Alligator mississippiensis: one gene and its partner. The protein of the gene in region 1 interacts with the protein of each later gene in a biochemical or structural test. Links are inferred from orthologs where the notes say so. Each region holds a gene or a part of one and is shown on either strand. Other genes may lie near its edges.

Region 1 (7,541 bases):
ATATCTGAGACAAGAAAGGATTTCTAACACCACTAAATTTTTATTTGCAAAAAACACTACTTTTATTCTATGTTCCAGAGCTGTTTGAAAGTACATAGCTAACAATGTTTTCTTTGAAAATCACAAGAAAAGTTTCTGATAGAAATTTTGCAAATCTAGTTCTTCCCAATATTAAACCTGCCAAACTAACCTTGAATGTAAATTTGAAGGCCATTTGATATACAGTAAGACAGCAACAGAAAAAAGGGCTGATCACAAAAACAACTGTGTTCACATATAATGGTAATATATAACTGTATTAACGACTTTTCTTCATATGCTGCAGTCCTTTTTTAACAGTAGTTCTGACCACATCTTTAACCAAGGCCATCTGCCCAACAATCATTTCAAAGCAATGTACCATTTTAGTGTGCTCAACTCTGCTCCTATGGATGATATACACCAGGGGTGGGCAAAATGAGGCCCATCAAGCCACTCCATCCGGCCCGTGAGGCCCCTAAAAAATTTAGAAAATAAATATTTATCTGTCCTGGGGTGCCTGTCATGTGGCCCTCGATGGCTTGCCAAAACTAAGTAAGCAGCCCTCTGCCCAAAATAATTGCCCGCCCCGATACAGACTCTTCTGAAGCTGAGCAAAAGACAGCATCCTTCCTTCTCCAAAAGCTGCCAGCTTTTAAAGACAAAAGATTTATGAAGGCACCTTATTTCCAGATAGTATCTGGCAATTCACTTTGGTTTTGATTCCAGAAGACTATGGTTTATAATAACTGAAAGGCTTCTTCCTTTAATGTGAAAATGACCCCTAGCTCTACATGCTGTGCAGATGATCCCTATGATGTCAACAGAGCTTTGCAGGGGTCCAAGGATCCACAAAGGCAGAGCATCAAGCAGGACCAAACCTTAATCTGACAAGTACAGCATTCCATCATACCCCTAAAACCATCCTGCAGGAGTCAGGCAGTGATATGCACCCTGGCTAGCAGGCCTTTTGTTTTCAATACACTGTACCTGGAAATCTATGCCTGACTAATGTCTAAAGCAAAATGCATCTTTGATCAAGAATTTTTATCAGCTCTATGGGATGGACTCCTATTACCAGATATATTTACAGTGTGGCATATCATTTATTCACCTAGCATCCACTTACAACAAATATTTGCATTACTAGGGCTTGAAAATAGCCAGCTCTTTTGGGGAAAAACTTGTGTAACTGCTACAAAGTTAACAAATATTGCCCAGAAGAAAGGAGCTGGCCATGGGGACTGTAGAAACATGGGGCGTCTATACACATGCTCAGGGAGTGGGGAGGGGAGAGAGGGGGGCCCTTTAATTACAGCGGCTCTCAGAGCCACTCTAATTAAAACACTCGGAGCATCTTGCACATCAGCGTCCCCACACTGAAAAATGGTGGTGGGGTACGTTAACTAAAGCTTGTTGAACAAGCTTTAGTTAAAGGGCCCTTGCTGCAATTTTTCAGCACGGGGATGCTAATACACAAGACACTGGAGTCTGCTGGAGCACATTAATTACCACACTCCAGCAGACTCAATTAATTGACTCTGCTCTGATGCACTATAATTACAGCGCATCAGAGCAGCCTTGCTGCATGTGTATAGGTGCCCATGGGTTTTTTTTAAGTATGTGCAGTTCATTCAGACAATCCATTGTCAAGGACATCAGCTGTTCACCAACCCAGTGTACTTATATCTTCTTACTCATCTAATGCTTTTATTTGACAAAAAGGGAAAACTGGAAGCCTCACTTAAAATTATTATAACCAAACCTGTTATACAAAAGTAAATAAATAACTAAAAGGATGCATTCAGTTCCTGATTATCCAATATTATCTTTAGTGTCTTAATAAATGTTTAATGGGCTGAATCATAGCATTGATGGATCCAAATCTTAACTTTTTGGCCCCTGTGTATTTTAATTTCTCTATAGGATTACACTAATATCATTTTGTATTTCCCAAAGAATATTAAAAGAGGCAAAAGATATGTTTTCATTGGCCATACTTTCAGGGATTTTTGCACTGCCTGAAGTTATACTAACTGGGAATTTCAAATTCAAATAGATGTACTTAAGCATGCTTATTTGTGCATGTACCTGTCAGTACACCTTCGCGACTACAGGAAAAAAAAATCATCATCACACTTATGCACTTAAGTTAATAAGGAAATTAAAGTGCACATGCTGAGCATGCTATTTTTCTTGTTTATAGCCTATTCATGAACTGATTAAGTTCTGACTCCAGGGGCAGAGAATGACATGGGACACTCCTCTGAGGACTGCTCATCATACCATGCTGGAAACATTAAAGTGGAACCATTAATTATTCTTCTACACAAAGTACCCAGCTGGGAACAGCTACACGAGAATTAAAACAGGTAGCTGAAAATATTACAAAAAGTGTTGTTTCCTCAAACATCCCAAATGTATAGCTAAAAGACACACAGGAGAAACTGCAGCTCATAGAGAATTTTCTATTAAGGTTTGGTGAACAGAAAATAGGAGATGGAAAAGAAAGTTAGCACAGAGAACGAAGTTAAGGTCAAATTAAAAGTCCGAGTAGGTATGACATTTGGCAATTGACTTGAGGCAGGACAGCATGCAGATGATGGAATAATTGACCTAGGCAAACTTGAAGTGGAAAGCTGAAGAGAAGAACTGTCTTTTCACGACTTTTCTGATTAGGTGGTGCAATGGACCAACAAGTAAGGATCAGCCAAGAAGGCCCATGGCACTGAAGTAACATCCAGGGTCACATAACTACATAAGCTACAATGTTCACCACTTGAGCACTTAGGGTAAGCACATAATTCACTTTATTGCACAGCACCACACAGGTCCCAATGTTTTGCCTCTTGCTTACACTGTAACAAACTTCAGTTGTCTGCCTATCAGTTGCATGCTACTTGTGTAGTGACTTTTTGGTCCCGCTGTAGGTAACTGCATAATTTGGGAAAGGGAGTGGGACCCAGCAGTATCCAAGCTTTTAAAGCAGCCTTGAACAACCCGACTGTGTCAATGTCAAGAGCCAGCAGCCATGTATCAGACAGGGAAGGAGGCTCTGCTCAGGGGGAACCCCAGAGACTGCGGCGCTGTTTTCCTGTCCCTCATCCATCCACAACTCCAGGCAGTTTCACTGAGCAGCGTCCGCAGGATCCTTGGACTTGTTTGCGGGGCAGTGGGCCCTGGCTGGCGTGCTCTTCTTGCTGTCCCCCTCCTTGCAACAATCATTATTAACCACAGACGCAAACTCAAGTTCCTGTTTTTTCTTCTGTTGTCCCCAGAACCTCTTCTTATATAGCTAGTTGCCTCCCTAACTGAGGGCGGTTTATAGGCATAAGCCCACTGCTGCTTTAATAACAAACAGGCCTGTCAACTTCAAGCCTGCTATCAGAGGCATAAGCCAATCAGAGAAACAAGGTGCCTGGCTTCAATGAGCTGCGAAAGGCTCCTCCTGCAGCTAAGGAGCACTGCTCACGCTGGGTCTGGGGAAACACGTAATGCTGGGCGAGCCTTGTCCCAGGCCCTAGGCCGTGCACCCCAATGGTGCACGCTGCGCAGTGCCCATGGCACTAAACCCCTGCTGCTCCCCACCCTGGGCAATGGGACCTCTGCAAAGGAAACAACGACGGGCACCAGGGCAGACGCACCGCGCCGTCGCCGCACCTAACCTACGCCAGGCCCCGGCCACTTCCCCAGAAGGCGCCGTGTGCGGGACATGGGACTGAGCATCCAAAACCCCACAGGGGGCCAGGTGCTCACTCACCTGCTCGCTTTCCTCCACCAGCCAGCTTTACCAGGACCCAAACTTCCTTCCAAGGCTGTCCCCACCACCGACCGCCCCATCGCGCCCATCAGCCTCTCCCCCACCCACACCACCGAGCCCCCTCCCCGCATTACCCACCGGGAAGCTCCCTTCCCCCATTACCCCTCCCCCATTGATCCCCCAACCCTCACTGCCCCTCCCCCATCGAGCCCCCTAACCCCACTGCCCCTCCCCCATTGATTCCCCACCCCCACTGCCCCTCCCCCATCGAGCCCCCTAACCCCACTGCCCCTCCCCCATTGCCCCTCCCCCATCGAGCCCCCTAACCCCACTGCCCTTCCCCCATCAAGCTACCTAACTCTCCTGCCCCTGCCCCTTCCCCACGACCCCTCCCGCACGTACCCGCGCCGAGCAGGGCGGGCCCCGGGGCGGGGGCGGGGGCGGTGTCGGCGGGGGCCTGGCTGACCGGGAGGAAGGGCACGGCGAAGCTGAACTCGGTGGCGGAGGAGGAGAAGAGCAGGTTGGTGCCGCCGGGCCCGGGGGGTTTGGCGGCCGCCATGTCTGCGTCCGCGTCCACGTCCACGTCCCCGGGCGTCACCGCCCCCACGGCCCCTTCCGCCCGCAGCGCTGCCCGGCTCCAAGATGGCGGCGCCGGCCTCAGCGCCTCACGCCCGGGGCGGGGCCCTTCCCCGCCGCCATTGCTGCAGCGGGAGGCAGGAAGTTGGCGGCGGCGCGGGGCTCCGTGTGCTGCCGCCCGCTCTCCCGCCCGCCCGCAACATGCCGTGCGTGGCCGACTGGCTCAACAGCCCGCTGCGCCTCGTGCAGGGCCTCTTCGGTGAGCGGGGCGGCCTCGTGCCGGCTGCCATGGGGCCAGCGCGGGGGTGCCTCAGTTTCCCCGGCCTGGCCTGGCCTGGCTGCGGGGCGGGGCGGCGTGAGGGATGTCTCCCGGTGTCGGCCTCACGCCGCAGGCTGCCCGGGCGGCGCGTGCTCGGCGCGGGTGAGGGGGGCGGTGTGGGCCGGGCCGAAGGGTTGATGCGCTTCACACGGGGCAGGGACTTGACCGGTCTCAAATAACCCTGAGACCCCCTTTCCACTTCCAAGCAGGGAAGCAACACTGATGTGGAGGGTTTCTGTCCCCCCCCCCCCGAGCCCCAAAACACCTGTGGACTGTGATCTCTGCAAGCAGGATACCTTTGGGCAGGATGGGCGTCCTGGCTGCGCTCCATCCCAAGCGGTGCGGGTTGGGATGCTGGCGGGCTGACCGACACGAGGCACAGAGTGCTTTATGTCCACACCTAACACTGAACCGCTTCAGGGACGACTGGCTCAAAATCATACGTGTTTTTTCTAGGGTGCTTGTAAAACGTTCCGGTCTAAAGTTGCACGTGCATCTAGGATCTTGGGGTTCAAAGTGTAACATTTATTGCATCTGCCCACCTTGGGGCATCAAGTGTGTGTCTGCGCACACCCTGCGAGGTGTACCGAGGAGAGGGGTGAGAACAGCTAGCTAGCCACGGCTTCTGCACCTCCGAAGTAGATGGCACGGAGACGCGAAGGCAAGCGAGGCTGTCTGAGAGAGATGTAGGGACTTCTTAAGGCGCGTATGCGTGGTTTGATCCCCGTCCGCATCGGGCTCCAAACCAACGTGAGGAGCTGGGCTTTGTGTAAGCTCAGCGAGCAAGTAGGGAGAGGTGTCAGAAATATCTTCCTGTCTGGAATCAGAAATGCTCTTCTATTACGTTGTTCTAGCCAAGCAAACGATGTTAGAAACGATTTTGAAAATGAAACCTTCAACTCTGCTCATGCATTTGGGACCTTTAAAATGCAGCAAAACCCTTGCCGAGTTCATTCACTGCCAGTTCTGCGTTTTGATCTCGTTACGGTTCCAACAGACAAAGCTTTGCCAATCCTGCACTTGGTATTAATCCATGTATGGCTTATTTTCTGGAAAAGCACTTGTGCTGAAACAAGCTTTCCAAAAACGTGACCGTGTGTGCACAGAAAGTAAGAAAGGTGGCTGATTCGCCCCTTCCTTGCCTGCTGGTCTGTGGCGTATTTGTAGTCCCGAGTTCTTGAGCCTCGTCTCACTTAAGCAGTGATGTGCTTGCTGTTATCGTTAAGAGACGGAGGAAGACATGGTGTTAAAATAGTCATAATGTGCACGTGTGCAGGAACAAGTCTCCCATAAAAATGTCGTTACCTTGCCAAACTGTGTTTACTTCACTCCGGTTCAGAGTGGTACATAAAACTCCGAAGTACTGTCCAGTTGCTTTTCTAAATACAGTTCTTTTTTTTGGTTTTTTTTCTAGCCCAAAGTGGTCCAAATCCTGAATGGGAGAAAAAAGTAACTGAATACTTCAGAGAGAAACTAAAAGAAAATAATGCTACTAACTGGGTGAGATTGTTTAGGAGTCTTTCCTTAAATTTCCTTCCTTTTGCATCAGTGATGATGATTTATTGTTTGCCAGGTTTTTCACTTTTAGAACTTGCTGATACCAGGCTGAAGAAGACACTGGAGACACTGGAAATCCCTACTTTGGCTTACCTGCAAAGTCACTGAAATGTGAAAAATCTGTCCAAAAATCAAAAGTGTAAGATCCTGATCCAAAGTCTTTTGAAACTCATGCAGTTGACTTCAGTGTACTTTGTACTATGACCCACTAGGTGGCAGTAGCTGACAAATGCAATCATCTGCAATGTATTCATTAAGGTATAAAAATCTGCCCTGGCTAGTCTAAAATTAGAGATAAATAAGTGTATACCAGAAGTTTCTGGCTAAGCACTTTCAAACTGATCAGGTTATATGATCTGTTACAGCTTTTGATGCTTTAAATGATTGGAGAAATAGTTGTTAAATTTCATATTTTAGTTTGGTTGAGGGAGATCATTTATTTTAATCTTCTACAAACTGTACCATATTATGTCAGTCTAAGCCCCTATTCTGTATTCAAAGATTAGGCAGCTAGCATGTATCTGATCTTCATATACAAGAAAAAGTTAGCTTGATTCCAAAATTGTTGGTCTACTCTGAAGGATAACTATAAAAATGGTATTATGGAATTCTGGATTTCTTGGCCCTCAAGTTAAATATGTTCAGTTTATCAGTAAAAAGAAAACCACCACAACAAACACAAGTATTTTTCCAATTTCAAAACACATTGAGAACCAAGAATCTTGTGTTTCAAGGAAAAAAACATTTTGTAACTAAAACTTTATCACCAATTGCATTTTTAACTGACTGAACTGCTAGGCATTACTAGTACCTGGGATGGAATAAAATATTTCTTTTCCTCTCTTATACAGCTGTGTGGGACCCCTGAGTTAAACTTTAAGTTGGATACAGTTACTTTAAAAAAAAAAAAAAGCAAATGCTATGGTGTGGATGTTCAGTCCGTGGTTACCATTTTTATATGATTGTAATTCCAGTAACTATATTTCACATTGAATGTATTTTTCCCTAATATGACAATGCAGTTAATACTGATTCAGAAAATCAAATAGACCTTGAATGAAAGGTGCACAGTACTGTTATTTCAGTAATTTGGAGATTTGGTTGCCTGGACAAGCCGTGCGCTTATCTTTTCCCATGGTCATCTCCTGTACAGATAAGCTTCTGTTACCTCAAAGCATGCCCTACATGTTTCTTTTGAAAGCGTGAATGCTTTGAGTACCAGAAAAGATGTTTGCTTGTTTTGCTGTGAGATGGCAGTGTTTCTTTCATGTTGCTTATTACAGTATTCCTAGTTGTGTTTTTCCTTGTCAA
Region 2 (6,982 bases), on another chromosome or scaffold:
TGTGACTTCAGGCAAGTCTCCCTAGAGACCCTCTATGCCAGTGATTCTCAAGGTTGTAGCTGCAATATTAGTATTGTTAGATGTGCATACATCTATGCATGATTCACAAGATAAACCCAGAGATTTTACATAGTGTCAAAAAACATTCTGACCTGTTGTCATCTAAGTTCTTTGCAACAGGTTCTATTATTTTTGTAGTAAAAAAAAGGTGAAAGCTAAGAGCTGGCACTTTCGGGGGGGGGTTGCATCTCAAAAAGGTTGAGAACTACTGTCCTACACCATGGTTTCTCCATATATAAAATGGAGATAATTTAAGAACCATGTGTAAAGCATTTGAAATCTAAGAAGGGAAAGCTTTAAAGCTAGGTACGTGGCTTTTTTCCACTAAAGAGAGATAGGTGGTGAGCCAAACTCCCTCAACATTGTGCAAGCCAGATCCTAAGCTGCTACAAACTGGCAATGCTCCTTCTGATGCAGTCACTGAGAGCCTAGCCCCATTAAGCTCTTAAAAGTGCCTTGCTAAGAACTTCACTTGATTAGAAATACATTATTAAAGAAAAAAGTTAAATTCATGCTGACACCAAACTAGCAACTGATTGTGTACTACAGAACAACATGGCAGAACAACAGAAGAACATGAACAACAGAACAAAAACACCATGCAACCACATGACCCACCCTACTTACCATGGAAGCCAACACCGATTATTAATGACATGATCTTGTCCAGTGACAAGATTTGGTGCCTAGTGTGGATAGCTGAGGACAGCACCAGTAACCAGTTTTGCTAGAGTAGCAAGTATGAAAAGGATTCCCTTTCCCCGACTGAAATCTGGATGCCTGACTAGGCGGCCAGTTGCTACTCTGGCTGCAGGCTATAATCACGTCAGGCTTAATTTTATAAACAAGTGATTGTGGAAGATGCTCTTGCAGATATGTCAAAGCAGAGGTGTTGGCAAGGTCTTCTTCCTACTTCAGGGCCCCTCCTACTTGATCACCTCTCCAGTCCTCCTGAGGTTGCCTTTTCCAGTTGCCTCCTTAGTCCCTATAGACAAGTATTCATAGCTGACCTGTCTGGTGATTGCTGGCTCCTGATCTTGTCAAATGCCAACAGCTATCACAGAAGGGAGGTCTTACGGGGAGCAATACTGGGGAGAGCTGTCTGCTGATGACTGGCTCCAAACTAAAGTTCGAACCTACCCTGCCTCCCCACGCCCTTCCTTGATATCCAGACCAGCACTGCCTACTTGGAACTGAACATGTTTTGGAAAAAGCTTGTTACTGAAAATTGCTTATTTCCCTAAAGTTTGAAAAGCAGGAAATTTAGACCAAACTCGTATTTAGTCATTCACAATTCATTTGCGTTCCAGTCATCATCCCTCTCAGTCCAACAATCCTAAGAACTTCCCTCTAAGTACAATAATAAACTTCTATATGAATTCAACACGACAAACAGAACGCTTCCACAAACTAGCCACCCAAGTCTCCCTAAGTAAACAACATATTCTACCCCATCTCCCACTCATTCCTTCACTCCTGGACACACTGGTGTCTTGGTCAAGATGCCAGAGTTCTTCTGCAGCAAGTGGCTGACATTACTGAACTGGTCCTTCATGAGAGGCAGTTTAGAGGGCACCCAAGGAACAAGACAAATACATGAAAAAAAACAAGTGGCCAACCATGCAGCTCTGGGCTTTCATCCTCATTGTATAATCTCCATACCAATGTACATCCACTTATAAAAGGTTATTTATGAATAATATGACAATATCTGCTTCAGAATTGAAGTGTAGTCATTTGCTGACCTAGATGCTACTCTGAGTGTTGACCTGGCCAATCTGCATCATAAATATTGTAGCGGGTGGTGTCTTCAATTAAGGGCAACCAAAATAGTGAGGTGTATATTCCGTCTGCATGGTGCTCCTGCCACCCACGAACCTAGCACGCTACTTAATGCATAATACCTGAAACTTAAGTCACATCTAGTGTATGAGTGTGTGACCCTGGACTGGCCTCTGAGTTTTCAGAAATATTTAAAAATGTCAGGACAAATATTTAAAAATTTAAAACAATGTCAGGACAAATAATAATCTTTTAGACAAATGGCTTAACATGGGCAATTAGTACATACACCTTCTAGATGTTCACATTTGCCATCTGCTATTCAGCCACAGAACACAAGATTCCAGGTTGGTGCTGTTTTATTTTTACAGTGTTGATATCCAAGTGCACATGACTGTGTTGTTTCAGATCCCTGAGAGCCCATGTGTCCATCATAGCTGCCAGTGCTTAGCAACACAGCGCCACCCCACGGTTGTCATAAGCAATCTACTCTGGAGCTGGTAGAAATGATCTGTGCCAGCACCAAATAGCTATTGTACACTGACCTCTTCAATCCACCTACAGCTCACCTGTTATCAAGATGCCCTCGGTGCTTGCAGCATATATATCCGGAATCACGCTAGGAAGAACGGTTTTCATCAGTGATAACAAAATAGTTAGCTATCATCAACCCTCTTGCTCATCCACCTGTTTTCAACCCTTGTGCTGTATATGGGCTCTGCCAAATAGGCTTTGGATTGGCTCAAGTGGCTATGCAGCCAGGCTTCACAGATGCAGAGAGCATAAAAACTCAAGCTGCAGTCATGGCCAAACACAGAAAATTGTGCGTTGTTGATGAGTGCCCTGCACCCGGATTCGAAAGACACTACATACAGCAAACAAAGAAGCAGCTGCAGAAAGATGTGTGTTCCCCCCAAAAAGGAGACGGCATCTTTTCTATGGCAATCCTCGTGTTACCAATAGAAGGCCTAACCCAAAACCCCATGAATTAGGCAAGGTCAGGCTGAGCGCTAACTTCCCAGATTTTGGGCTAGTCCCATAGAGAAGCTGAACGACCTCTCAGTCAAAACGATGCTGCAACCACTTAGGACTCAGGAGTTGCTGGCTTCCAGGGGAGACATTTAGCCCGTTGGACTGTGACACTTTGAGTCATAGACTATGAGGTTTGGCAGGGACCTCAGGATGTCATCTAGTCCAACCCCCTGCTCACAGCAGGACCAGCACCAGCTAGATCATCCCGGCCAAGGCTTTGTCTAGCTGGGTCTTAACAACCTCCAAGGATGGAGAGTCCACCACCGCTCTGGGTAACCTGTTCCAGTGTTTTACTGCCCGCCTGGTGAGAGAGGTTTTCCTACTCTCTAACCTAAACCTCCCTTGCTGCAACTTGAGACCACTGCTCCTTCTGAGGGTTTATTTAACTCCTCATTTTGTCTTGTAGGTCATGTACCCAAGTTGGCAACAAAAACAAATAAATAAAAAATAATAATAATAATATAGTTTTGGGGTGAAAGGGGCCACGGAGGTGTGGACGGGAGGTGGGGCTGAGCCCGAGCCTGCTTGTCCTGCACGCTCCCAGCTCAAGGTTTCTTTTTCGTGTGACTCCACTCACTGCTGAGGAGGCAGGTCAGCGTAACTAACTTGGACGTGTAAGAATGGGCCATACTCGCACAGTATGGACTGCCGGGTCCCCAGCAAGGGGGCAGGTAAGGCAGCCCCACCTCGCCAGTCACACGCAGCCTCTCTGGGCATTGCCACAGAGCTGGTTGGCTCCCCCCCTCCCCCCGAACAAAATGGTTCCGTCCAGGCGACTGCCTCCCTTCTCCCCCCATATGCCCGTTCAGAATGGTTTCGTCCAGCCGCCATCTTGCGCCCATGCTCTCCCCCTTTCCCTCGCGCCTTTCGCGCCAAACTGCTCCGGGCCCCAGCTAGGGGAGGGCAGAGGGGTGGGGTCTCAACGTCTCCACCAATCCGCTCTCACCCCCATGGCAACCCAGCCGCGCGCTTCCTGTGCGGAAAGGGATGGGAGGAACCTGGCTGGGCCAATCAGAGGGGGCGGGCGAGTGTCTGGCCAATAGGGGCTTGGGCCGTAGACCGTCCCATTGTGACGTCTCTTCGGTTTTGCCGCGTAAAATCGGTGCTCGCAGCGGGTCGGTTCCTGGGGGCGAGCGGAGGTGCGGGTGGGCGCCGCTCCCGGAGGGAGGGGCTGGTCCGGGATAGGGGCCCAGTCCTCCTTAACGCGGGACAGCAAGGCTGCGTGCGGGGCTTGGCGCGAGCGGGTGGCAGGCACCGCAGGATGCCGAGCTAATGGTCCCCTCTCTCTGCCCGGCACTCAGGAGCAACCTCCACCATGTCCGGCTTCGACGACCCCGGCATCTACTACAGCGACAGCTTTGGGGGTGACCCGGCAGCGGACGAGGGGCAGGTCCGCAAGTCCCAGCTTCAGAAGCGCTTCAAGGAGTTCCTGCGGCAGTACCGCGTGGGCACAGACCGCACTGGCTTCACCTTCAAGTACAGGTGTGGGCGGCCCCCACCTCTGAGGGCCCCTCCAGCCCATTCCCGCTCTGCCGCTGTTCGCTTTCCTCCTGCTGCGTGCTCCCGCGGGCCACGGCTAGCTCTTCTGGAGCCCTCTCTTCCACCACTTCTAAAGAGCTCTTTGCAGGAGAACGAATACCTTTATCCTTGTCGGGACCCAGGTGGAAGCTGAAGCCTGGAGGGGCCCACCACTTTGCCAGGAACCAGGTGTCAAGCTAGTGGCGGAGCCAGGGATAGAGCCCGGTTCTTCCCATCTGGATCCGCTTTCCCCCCACTTTTGGACGATCCTTACAAACCTGGGACCCATGCTTCTGTCCCTCTAGTTGTCCCATGCGATCAATTGCCTCTAGTGGCCTCCCTGATTAAGGGAGGCTTATAATTGCCTTGTGGGCCTAGGGCCACATTTCCCTTGACATAGCAAATTAACCTGTCTGGTACCCCATCCCCTGGGTTATGCTGTTTCCCAAGGGCCCGCCCTGCAAAATCGGGTCTAGATCTGAATGCCAAGTTTCAGACCTGTCATCCCTGGGGTTCTGTTCAGTTCTGTCTCTAGTATAAATCAGTCGTGGGTTTCCAGCCCATGCCTTTTGGGATCTGTGAACAGGTAGTCCCAGAGCAGTGGCCACATGCGAAGGAGTGACAGAGGATTGTGGATGGTAGTGGCAGCCACCACGTGCAAGCTTCCCCCTCTGCTGCTCTGGGACCGGCAGCTGCTACTCTCCGATGGAGTGGAGTTTTAAAAAGTGCCGGATTTCAAGTTCTGGATTTTTGATATCCAGGTTTATGAGGTTATACTGTAGTTTGTACTTAAACTGTTGGGCTGTGGTTGGTGTGATGCTGGTGCACATTAATGTTAAACTCTGATAACCACTGTGGCCACAGCTGCCCCTTGTCCAATGCCATTTGTGCATAAGGATCCATATTGAAAAAGTATTAGCATGGATGTTACCTCTGTCCAGCAGTTTCCGTTCCTTTTGCTTCCACCATAGAGGGCTTGTTACTTTTCCTGCCATAAAAGACTACCTGTAGAGCAGGGGTGCCAAACTTATCCAGCCCTGCAGGCCACATAAGTGGCACAGACCCACCCACAGGCCAGATAGGGCCCATGGGTCCCTCTTCCTTTCCCTTTCCCCAGCATACTGATCCAGCAGCTGTTCCACACAGTCTGGGACCTAGGCTGTGTGCGTTGCATGCAGTATCCATTCCAGCCACTCTGGGATTTGTCCCGTGTGCAGTGCAGGTCCCAGATTGGCTGGAGCAGCCACTGAATCAGGTATGCTAAGGGAGGGAGGGGATGGGAGTCCATGGGCAGGACTTGGCCTGAAGACCAGCCCCATACCACAGGCATACACAGTGCCCCATGCGAGTCTAATTCAGGGGCAGGCAATTATTTTGGTCAGAGGGCCACTTACTGAGTTTTGGCAAGCCATCAAGGGCCGCATGACATGCAGTCAGGGGCAGATAAATATTAATTTTCAAAATTTTTTAGGGGCCCCGCAGACTGGATAGAATGACCTGGCAGGCCGTGTTTTGCCCACCCCTGGTTTAATTGGACCCAGGGGCTAGATGGCAGGGCACCATGAGCTGGATTCAATCCATAGGCTGTATGTTTGACACCCTTGCTTTAGAGCGTTTCGCATCTGCTTTCTACATAGCTGGAGGGCCACTTTGAATGTTTTGTGTGATAGTTTCTCTTCTGTTACAGTTCCCTACCTCTGGGCTTGCCAAGTTGCAGGCCTTTAAGAAAATTTGCTTGGTGCTTTTTTGCCTACAAATCCTTACTCCTACCTCATCTTGCAGGGATGAGCTCAAACGGCATTACAACCTGGGTCAGTACTGGATTGAGGTGGAGATGGAGGACCTGGCCAGCTTTGATGAGGACCTGGCAGACTACCTGTATAAGCAACCTGCAGAGCATCTACAGCTGGTAAGGATGGGGAATACCGTAGAAGGGAACACACCAAGGACTATTTTATTTAGAGCTAAGAGCTGGTGTGCCACGAGCCATTTAGCTAACCAGAGTGGTGTGTCAGTATAAGCTGTATTATTTCCTAAACAGCTGGAAGAAGCAGCAAAAGAAGTGGCTGATGAGGTCACCCGTCCTCGTCCATCAGGAGAGGAGACCCTCCAAGACATCCAGGTCATGCTGAAGTCAGATGCCCATGCTGCCAATATCCGTAGCCTGAAGGTGAGTTAAATCCACCCACTATGATGAGGTGGGAAGAAGACTAAGAACAGAACTCATCCAAAGTGTGTTTGTGTGTGTGTTGAGAGAGCTGTTAGTTCTTGCTGAACTTAATCAAGGTTAAGTTCATCTCTGTCCATCTAGACAGAACTGCACCAGATGTGACTGCAAGTTGTGACTTACTATGACTGATGGGACTTGTTAGTGTTAGGGTTACCCCTGAGTGTGGTTTTTGTGCTGCTTTAACTATATTGCTGTGAAACCTATCTAGCTAAAATAGTACAACCCCTTCATGTGAACAGAGTTAACCCACCAGAAAGTTGCTTATAGTGGTATAGTTTATTCCTCTAACTTTAATGAGTTTTATCAATGCATAGACATCATTACACAATTATAGTTGCATGCTTGCTAGAGGTTGCACTA

Evidence for each region.
Region 2: the proteins of MCMBP (region 1) and MCM5 form a complex in vitro, tested with the Homo sapiens proteins (2 studies listed by BioGRID). The link is inferred for Alligator mississippiensis from reciprocal best matches to the Homo sapiens genes MCMBP and MCM5.

The regions. Positions count from the first base shown.
Region 1 is NC_081829.1:87,094,734-87,102,274, forward strand, and holds the start of MCMBP (mini-chromosome maintenance complex-binding protein), read left to right. Parts: upstream 1-4,468; 5' UTR 4,469-4,555; coding exon 4,556-4,613; intron 4,614-6,087; coding exon 6,088-6,173; intron 6,174-6,262; exon of another isoform or gene 6,263-6,369; intron 6,370-7,541. Other genes in the region: SEC23IP (SEC23-interacting protein), read right to left, coding at 4,181-4,337. UniProt on the Homo sapiens protein: Associated component of the MCM complex that acts as a regulator of DNA replication.
Region 2 is NC_081827.1:101,598,300-101,605,281, reverse strand, and holds the start of MCM5 (DNA replication licensing factor MCM5), read left to right. Parts: upstream 1-3,906; 5' UTR 3,907-3,989; exon of another isoform or gene 3,990-4,013; intron 4,014-4,066; exon of another isoform or gene 4,067-4,175; 5' UTR 4,176-4,189; coding exon 4,190-4,356; intron 4,357-6,174; coding exon 6,175-6,301; intron 6,302-6,433; coding exon 6,434-6,562; intron 6,563-6,982. UniProt on the Homo sapiens protein: Acts as a component of the MCM2-7 complex (MCM complex) which is the replicative helicase essential for 'once per cell cycle' DNA replication initiation and elongation in eukaryotic cells.